2 linked regions of the Nothobranchius furzeri genome follow. The protein of the gene in region 1 binds, or shares a complex with, the protein of each later gene. Links are inferred from orthologs where the notes say so. Each region holds a gene or a part of one and is shown on either strand. Other genes may lie near its edges.

What was found. The genes of interacting proteins can lie anywhere in the genome.
Region 2: the proteins of gigyf1a (region 1) and tnrc6c1 are in contact, whole or in part, in a crystal structure (PDB 7RUQ), measured with the Homo sapiens proteins. The link is inferred for Nothobranchius furzeri from reciprocal best matches to the Homo sapiens genes GIGYF1 and TNRC6C. Residues at the interface, in NP_001362694.1 of Homo sapiens: Tyr479, Asp481, Pro482, Gln487, Phe490, Trp498, Tyr503, Phe504, Leu508; in NP_001136112.2 of Homo sapiens: Arg1719, Pro1720, Pro1721, Pro1722, Gly1723, Leu1724, Thr1725.

Annotation. Positions count from the first base shown.
Region 1 is NC_091742.1:83,832,176-83,835,828, reverse strand, and holds part of gigyf1a (GRB10-interacting GYF protein 1), read left to right. Parts: intron 1-748; coding exon 749-914; intron 915-993; coding exon 994-1,286; intron 1,287-1,510; coding exon 1,511-1,614; intron 1,615-2,554; coding exon 2,555-2,655; intron 2,656-2,724; coding exon 2,725-2,798; intron 2,799-2,869; coding exon 2,870-3,004; intron 3,005-3,083; coding exon 3,084-3,260; intron 3,261-3,330; coding exon 3,331-3,542; intron 3,543-3,613; coding exon 3,614-3,653. UniProt on the Homo sapiens protein: May act cooperatively with GRB10 to regulate tyrosine kinase receptor signaling. May increase IGF1 receptor phosphorylation under IGF1 stimulation as well as phosphorylation of IRS1 and SHC1.
Region 2 is NC_091752.1:53,971,034-53,974,686, reverse strand, and holds part of tnrc6c1 (trinucleotide repeat-containing gene 6C protein), read left to right. Parts: coding exon 1-1,144; intron 1,145-3,199; coding exon 3,200-3,394; intron 3,395-3,653. UniProt on the Homo sapiens protein: Plays a role in RNA-mediated gene silencing by micro-RNAs (miRNAs). Required for miRNA-dependent translational repression of complementary mRNAs by argonaute family proteins.

The sequences.
Region 1 (3,653 bases):
ATTTTGTTTCGGATCAGCAAATCTCTTTATGTTGTAGAACACTTGTGCAACATTTTTTTGCACAATATGTAACTTTCTATAGGTCTTATAGATCGCTGATTAAATAACAAAATGGCTTGAAATAGGACAGCTCACTCACTGCGTGTCCAGGAATAAATCTCCTTAGCTTTCTGAAGCGTTTGTTTTTTTTTTCCTCTTTTACAGATTTTTCCCCACAAATAATTCAGGTCCCACCACATTAATGTAATAACTGTCTGAGCATTTTATGCGCACCAACTCCCTCCCTCCTTTCACAGCGATCGGAGGTCGGTGTAAGCGGACATTTCTGGACAAAGATCCAGAGGCTGGTAGATTTTTTTTAAAGATCCAGTAAACAGAATGCTATGAAAAGCTCTTTTGCTCTGGTAAAAACTTAGAATACAAGTTAGAAAATAAACTTAAAAGAAAAACATGAAAACAATACCAGAAGCCGTTCTGGGATGTAGCACCTACGACGCAGCTCTAAATGGTTTTAGTCTAGGTCACACCCTTCTGCATCTAATCAAAACAGCATTGTAACACAATGGGACATAATGACTTCAACAACTGCTCAGGGGGTGGGGTGTTCATAGGTAGTATCTGCTCGTTAAACAACAATAGACAGCTACAGTTTATACGCTTGACCCTTCCATATTCCAGTCAGAACTGACCAAGCTCCTCGGATGAGAAGTGAAGCTGCTGAATACTGGTGTAATGTGTGCTTATGTAGGAGGCAGAGAAGATGGTGGCGTCGCTGCAGGACACCTCCTTGGAGGAGGAGTGTTTCACCCAGGCTCTGCAGCAACAGGAGAGCAGGAACACAGCCGCTGCTCTGCCACTCACCCACGAGGCGGCCATGAAGTGGTTCTACAAAGACCCTCAGGGGGAGATCCAGGGTACGCCTGATTCCTGAGTGGGGTTAGGGTGATGGTTGGGTCAGAAGTGCTGATGGTTGTCTGTGTTCTGGGTCTGCAGGTCCATTCACCACAGTGGAGATGTGTGAGTGGTTCCAGGCTGGTTATTTCACCATGACCCTGCTGGTGAAGCGGGGCTGCGACGAGGGCTTTCAGCCCCTGGGAGACGTCATCAAGATGTGGGGCCGCGTGCCCTTCGCCCCGGGCCCCTCCCCACCCCCCCTGCTGGTGAGACAACACCCACCGACGCAGCGCCCGCAGCCCAACCGGGGGCCCGCCGGGACTGTGAGTCAGACTTCTGCAGAGCCGCAAGATGGGGAGGTGGACATCAGAGGGGGCATGAGGAGACAGGCTGTAATGAGATATTTACTTCTAATCTACATTCATGTCTTCTGTTGGTTTTACTTATAAATGTCTCTGAAACGCATCACAACCACTTTTGTGTCAGCTGTCGTTCAGTCATGTGACCTCCATGACGTCATTAAGTTTGTTATAATTTGATGACAAAAGCTACATCAAACCAAATTGCTGCAGGTTGGGTTTTACCAAACTGAGGATGTCTTGTGTCCCGTTTCCAGGGAAACCTGGACCAGGAGCGTCTGAAGAAGCAGCAGCAAGAGCTGGCAGCAGCAGCTCTTTATCAGCAGCTCCAACAGCAGCAGCTATTCCAGCTCATCAATAGGTACACACACACACACACACACACACACACCTGTGTAATCCATCAACAAATTACAGCCCACATGCTCCGTGGCACAGATTGCTAGCACACCGGTGCGTCTCAGCTTCAGCAGCTGTTGTCTGCTTTATTAAACTCTCACATTTATTAAACAGTAAAAAGCTCAACTCTGCCACCCTCTGGTGTGAATTGGTAACTTCAGTCTTTTGAAAATATGATCTCAATATTTTCTAAACTAAAAAAAATAGCACAACTGGCTATTGAAGAGTGTAACGTTTATTTTAATTCTGTTGCCTTTTTAATCACACTTGAACTGATGCAGGGTTAGAAATGTAAATGTTTTGATGAAGCATAAAAATGTTTATTATACAAGAAGTTTAGGTAAACTGATCTGTAATAGTTCAAAGGTCCCTTATAGTTTAGAGATTTTTAATGATTCTATAACAGTTTAATTATCACTAAGTGTTTAATATATATTAATTAAAGGACAGAAAGGCCCAAATCTCATTGGTTTCTTGCAAAATGAACCAAATCTGTTTTCTTCTTTCCCTTATTTAATGCATAATAAGAACTTATGGTTTTATACAGTGTTACTGATTAATTAGTACATCTATGAATGAGTTATTAGCCATTTACAAGGTGTGCATTGTTGTAAAGTGGTACCCAGTGGTCACACATCAAACATTTATATGACATTTGCTACAAAAAAAGGTGGTTTGAAGCCTAAACTTACAGGTGATCAAGGTTTATTCTGAAGGTATTAAATGTATCGAGTCATAATAAAAGATCTGAGGTTCTTGGTTATTTTGGCGGGCCACACTGGAGCGTTCCTGGAGTATTTTGGGCTAAAGCTGATTAATAAATGCCCGCTGTACCTATTTTGTCATCATTTTGACCTCGTGATGAACCTGTGACTGTAATGGTCGTTCCCTCTGTGTCCCAGGTGCAGTGAGCAGGGTATAATGCCTTCGATGAACAGGTCGATGTCAGTGCCAGATACAGGGTCCATGTGGGACATGCATACCTCAGCTTCACAGCCGTCAGGTCGGTTCCTCTCAGCATGACCAATCAAACTCCTCAGCAGAACCTAACCATCTCATTGTCTCCATGCAGGCGGTGAAGCCAGTCTTTGGGACTTAACAATGAATCCTTCTACTCAGGGTCCAACTCTTGAACAGCTTCAGAAGGTCAGTTTAGTCCTGATGTTACTTTGCTCTCTGCTGCTGTTTGACTCACGCCGCTGACCTGCTCTCATCAGCTCCAGCAGGAGAGGAGAGACGCTGAACTCAGGGCGAAGCGGGAAGAGGAGGAGCGCAAACGAAGGGAGGAGAAGAGGAGGCAGCAGGAGGAGCAGAAGAGGAGGGAGGAGGAGGAGCTCTTCAGACGCAAACAGGTGGGGCGATTGAAGGAATCTGGAGCGTCTAGTTTTTGTGATGGGAGGAAAGCCCAGCGTGATGGTGTTGTGTGTGCAGTGTCGTCAGCAGCAGGAGCTGATCATGAAGCTGCTGCAGCAGACCCCCCAGCAGCAGGGCCAGGGGGGCGGCGGCTCCAGCTGGAGCAGCGCTTCTTCATCCGGGCTATCAAAGGCAGCAAAGTCCCAGGCTCTGACTCTGCTGGAGATGCAGCAGCAGAGAGCCCAGCAGCAGAGAGTGAGTCCTGACCCCAGTGCATGATGGGATGTTGTAGGTAACTGTAAACAACCTGTCTCTCCTCTTCCAGCACTCCAGCATGTCCATGGGGAGCTCCTCCATGAGCGGGCAGTTGGCCGAGGGTATGGGCATGTGGGGCAGTCCCGGTCTGGAGGGGAAGGCTGGGAGCGGAAGCTCTTCTGGGAGCATGGGGATGTGGGACGAGGCTGTGAAGAGCCAGGCTGGTCTCCGTGGCAACAACAACCTGGGTCTGAAGAACAGCCGCAGCAGCCCGTCTCTCAGGTGTGGACCTGCTTTATGTATGTGTTGTCCTCCTGTCGTCACAGAGACTAAAGGTTGTTTTTCCGCTGCAGCGATCAGTACTTGATGCGTCGTAAGCGGACGGAGGAGGAG
Region 2 (3,653 bases), on another chromosome or scaffold:
TGGGGGCAAACCCCTGTACGCCAACACACCACCTGGCATATGGATGATACTAAACGAAAGAATGATGTTGGCACTGAATCATGGGGCTCTGGCCCATCCACTTCAAGTGAAGTGCAGGGACCCATAAACACTAATACCGGGCCTGCTTCGAGGACTGACAATGGGAGTAAAAATGATGTGCCTGGTTCTCAGGGAGCTTCTGGTTGGGGTGGGAGCATGGCTGCTACACACATGCCCAGTTCAGGTTGGGGAGAGCCAACCAACAATATTAAACACCCTGTTGGACCTGATGGATGGGGAAACCCTCCATCAGGCGTTCCAACCAACAACATACCCAAGAATGGTAATCAGTCCTGGGGAGAGGAAAAATCTGCTGGTTGGGAAGCTTCTCAAGGCAAGCCAGCATCCCAGGGCTGGGGAGACCAACCCAAATCATCCCACACCTGGGGCAATAATGGTGGAATCAATAACACAGGAGACTGGGAGGAACCAGAAGAGACCAAAAAGAGTTCTGCAAACCCTGATTGGGAAGGAGAATCTGGAAACTGGAAGGAAAATAAACAAGACTGGGGAATGTCTGCTTCAGGACCAGGGATATCTGGAGCTGGAGGAAATGGGGGCTGGGGTGAGTCCGCACCCCAACGTCCTTGTGGTCCCCCCCAAGGTTGGATGAACAAGCCTCAAGATGGACCCAGTAGTAATTGTGGAGGAGGAGCCGTGGGCTCGTGGGGTGGTTCCGGCTCAGTGAAGCAGAGTGGAGGCTCGAGTGGCAGCAAGCAGGAACCCCCAAATGAGCCCACAGGCTGGGAAGAGCCTTCTCCACCTTCAATCCGACGTAAAATGGAGATAGATGATGGGACCTCTGCTTGGGGTGACCCTGGTGCCTACAATAAGGCCGTTAATCTGTGGGATAGAAACAATTCAGGGATGTCCCAGGCGAAAATTACCACTGGGGGCAATAGCCCTCCAGGTTCCAGCAACAACCACCCCCACACTCACAATCACCCTTATCACGGGCTGCCTGCACTTTTACCGAACCATAGCCAAAACACTCCAAACCCATGCCCTGCCACTGGGCCTAGGGATCCTCCAGTGCAACATCAGTCTGGGCAATCTCACATCAGAAGTCCCCTTATAGCTCAAGGTAGGATCATTTAATGATCACATTGTACAGTGCTTGAGTATTAATCAGAGTTCACAGTTTTAAAGGTACATTTCACTGTCATTCAAACTTTAAAGGTGACTTAGATTGTTACTTAAGTTCTTGTTGCTTGTTTCTTCTTTATTGTCCAAAGTGAAGGTGCCAAACGTGGAAGCTGGTTAGGTAGTTAGTACAGCGCACTGTTAAGCTCCAAGCTGTTGATCTACTTAAGTTAAAATCTTGACCTAGTTGCTCTCTTGAGATTTACGTCTAATCAACTCTCTAGATCAGCGACGCAGTGCCAGCTCTTTTCTTTCAAGAGGCTCTCACACGTTTCACAACACTGAATACAACCGTGTGAGGGGGTAACCCTGGCAACCTGACACGGGTACCCAAAAGAAGCACAAAAATGCTGTTTACTGCGTGCCTCGTGAAAATACTGATTTGCCACAAAACAGTTTGAGACAGATCGGAAGTGTGTGATTATATGGGAGCCACCATCTGTCAGTAGTTTAGGGGAGAAGGTGGAGCATGTTCCCAGACAGCCAAAGAGAGCAGATGCCCCCTGCTGTTCTTCATTAGACTCTGCAGTTGCTGCCTGTGATGGACTTGGATGAAACCTCATTAGATGTTTTAGTGAAAAAAAAATGAAGAATTTCTTACTAATGTGAAAATAGCATCTGCTTGTCCTGCTAAGGTTTCTTGAGATGGTTGTAGGTTTCTGGTCTCCCATACCAGAAGGTTGACTGTAACTTTAATTTTGGATCAGCCTTTTGGACTTGACCTTTCCCCGGTGGGAGAGCTAAGCTGAGTCTGGCATTGCTGCAGGCGTAACGGCAGCACCGTGCTTCTCATGCCAAAATAGACTTGCATGTGCCAGAGCTTAAACGGGGACCTCCTCCCTCTACCGACAGTCTGGCTCAGCCAAGCCCACTTTTCTACCTCCCTGCATGGCTGGTGCTTCACTCTCAACCTCGTCGCATTTAACCTTCAGCTCCTATAAATAAGTTTGAAATAAAAAAATCAAGCCAAGGTGAATGAATGGTATTTAAATCATACACACAATAATTAGTTATGACGCTTGGTGTGAGAACGTCTCATAAAAAGGTTAAAACTTCTGCATCAGCTGGACTGACTTAATAAAACCAATTTGCTGTCCTCACTGCTAAAGTTCCCAATCAAGCTGGATTGAAATTAGTTATTTTAGATCGTTTTGCAACATCATAAGTAATTTGCTAAATGCTTCTTTTTCTGGTTTTTGTTTAAAATTTCTGAATAATATTATTACTGCTGCTGTTAAAAATAATAGTAATGATGCAGTTTTGTCACGTAATTTAGCATTCTGCAGTAAGATCATTTTAAAATGTGAGGAGAGTTTATCAGAGCGGCTGCAACACGTGATTATTATAGAACATTACTAATCTTAACAGGATGAGCCAAAAGGCCTTTACTATAAATATTTTGACATAATTCTAAAAATCTTGAAAGCCCTTAGGTAGGGGTAGGGTGATGTATCGGTCCGCCGATATTTACCGTATTATTTATATTTTTTATATAAATTGGTATCGGCCAATATTAGTCCTAAATAAAGCCGATTTAAATTCAGGCGCATCCTCGAGCAACCCGGTTCTGTTACAGAATTCAATTCACAAAAACATCTGCACAATAAATACTTTAAATTAATTCTATTTGTCTGATTTTAACACTGAGCGGTGCAAAAAGTTAAGATTTAACGATTGGTTGAATTTAGAGTTCAAAAAACGGATCCAGCTTCAGAAACTTTGTTATTAGTGAGATTTTAGCATGAAAATAAGAAGGATATCGGCCATGAAAATCGGCAGTACATATCTGCCATCAGCTTACCGTGTCTCCTACATATCAGTATCGGCAATAGATCGGTCGACCTCTATCATTAAGTTTGCTATACCTGGTTAGAAAAACCAAATATGGGGGGAAAGAGACCATGGATACCGTTAACCTATCGTGTTTCCTAGACACTCGTCCTGATCTCGTGGGACGTTTTTGTTTTTCACACTGCTGTCCTTGCGTGCCCTCCAGGTTGGGGCGAGCTACCCAGCTCCCACACTAAATCAGAAAGCTCTTGGGGCGACCCTGCACCCTCTCCAGGCAGCATGGATAATGGCACGTCTGCCTGGGGCAAACCGAGCGGGAGCTCTGGAGGCTGGGGAGACGGCAACCCAGACAGCTACAGCAGGAGCAACCAGACAATGACCACTGCTTCCTGTAAACCCAGTAAGTAAATCCTGGGTTTGCAACGGTGTTAACATGTGAATACTGATGGCATGCTCTAGCTCCGCCGCTGAAGCAAACAGTGTTTTTCTCCTGCTGAGTCAAATCAAGGACAATGTGACAGAAAACCCCATTTTTTTAGCCATAGGTCCACACTGCCCCCTAGTGGCTGCAGCGTTTAATTTAATGTCTGTGCAGCATGTTGGTTTTACTCTGTCCTCGTTGCATATATTTGTCTCAATACTTTTATCATTATATTACA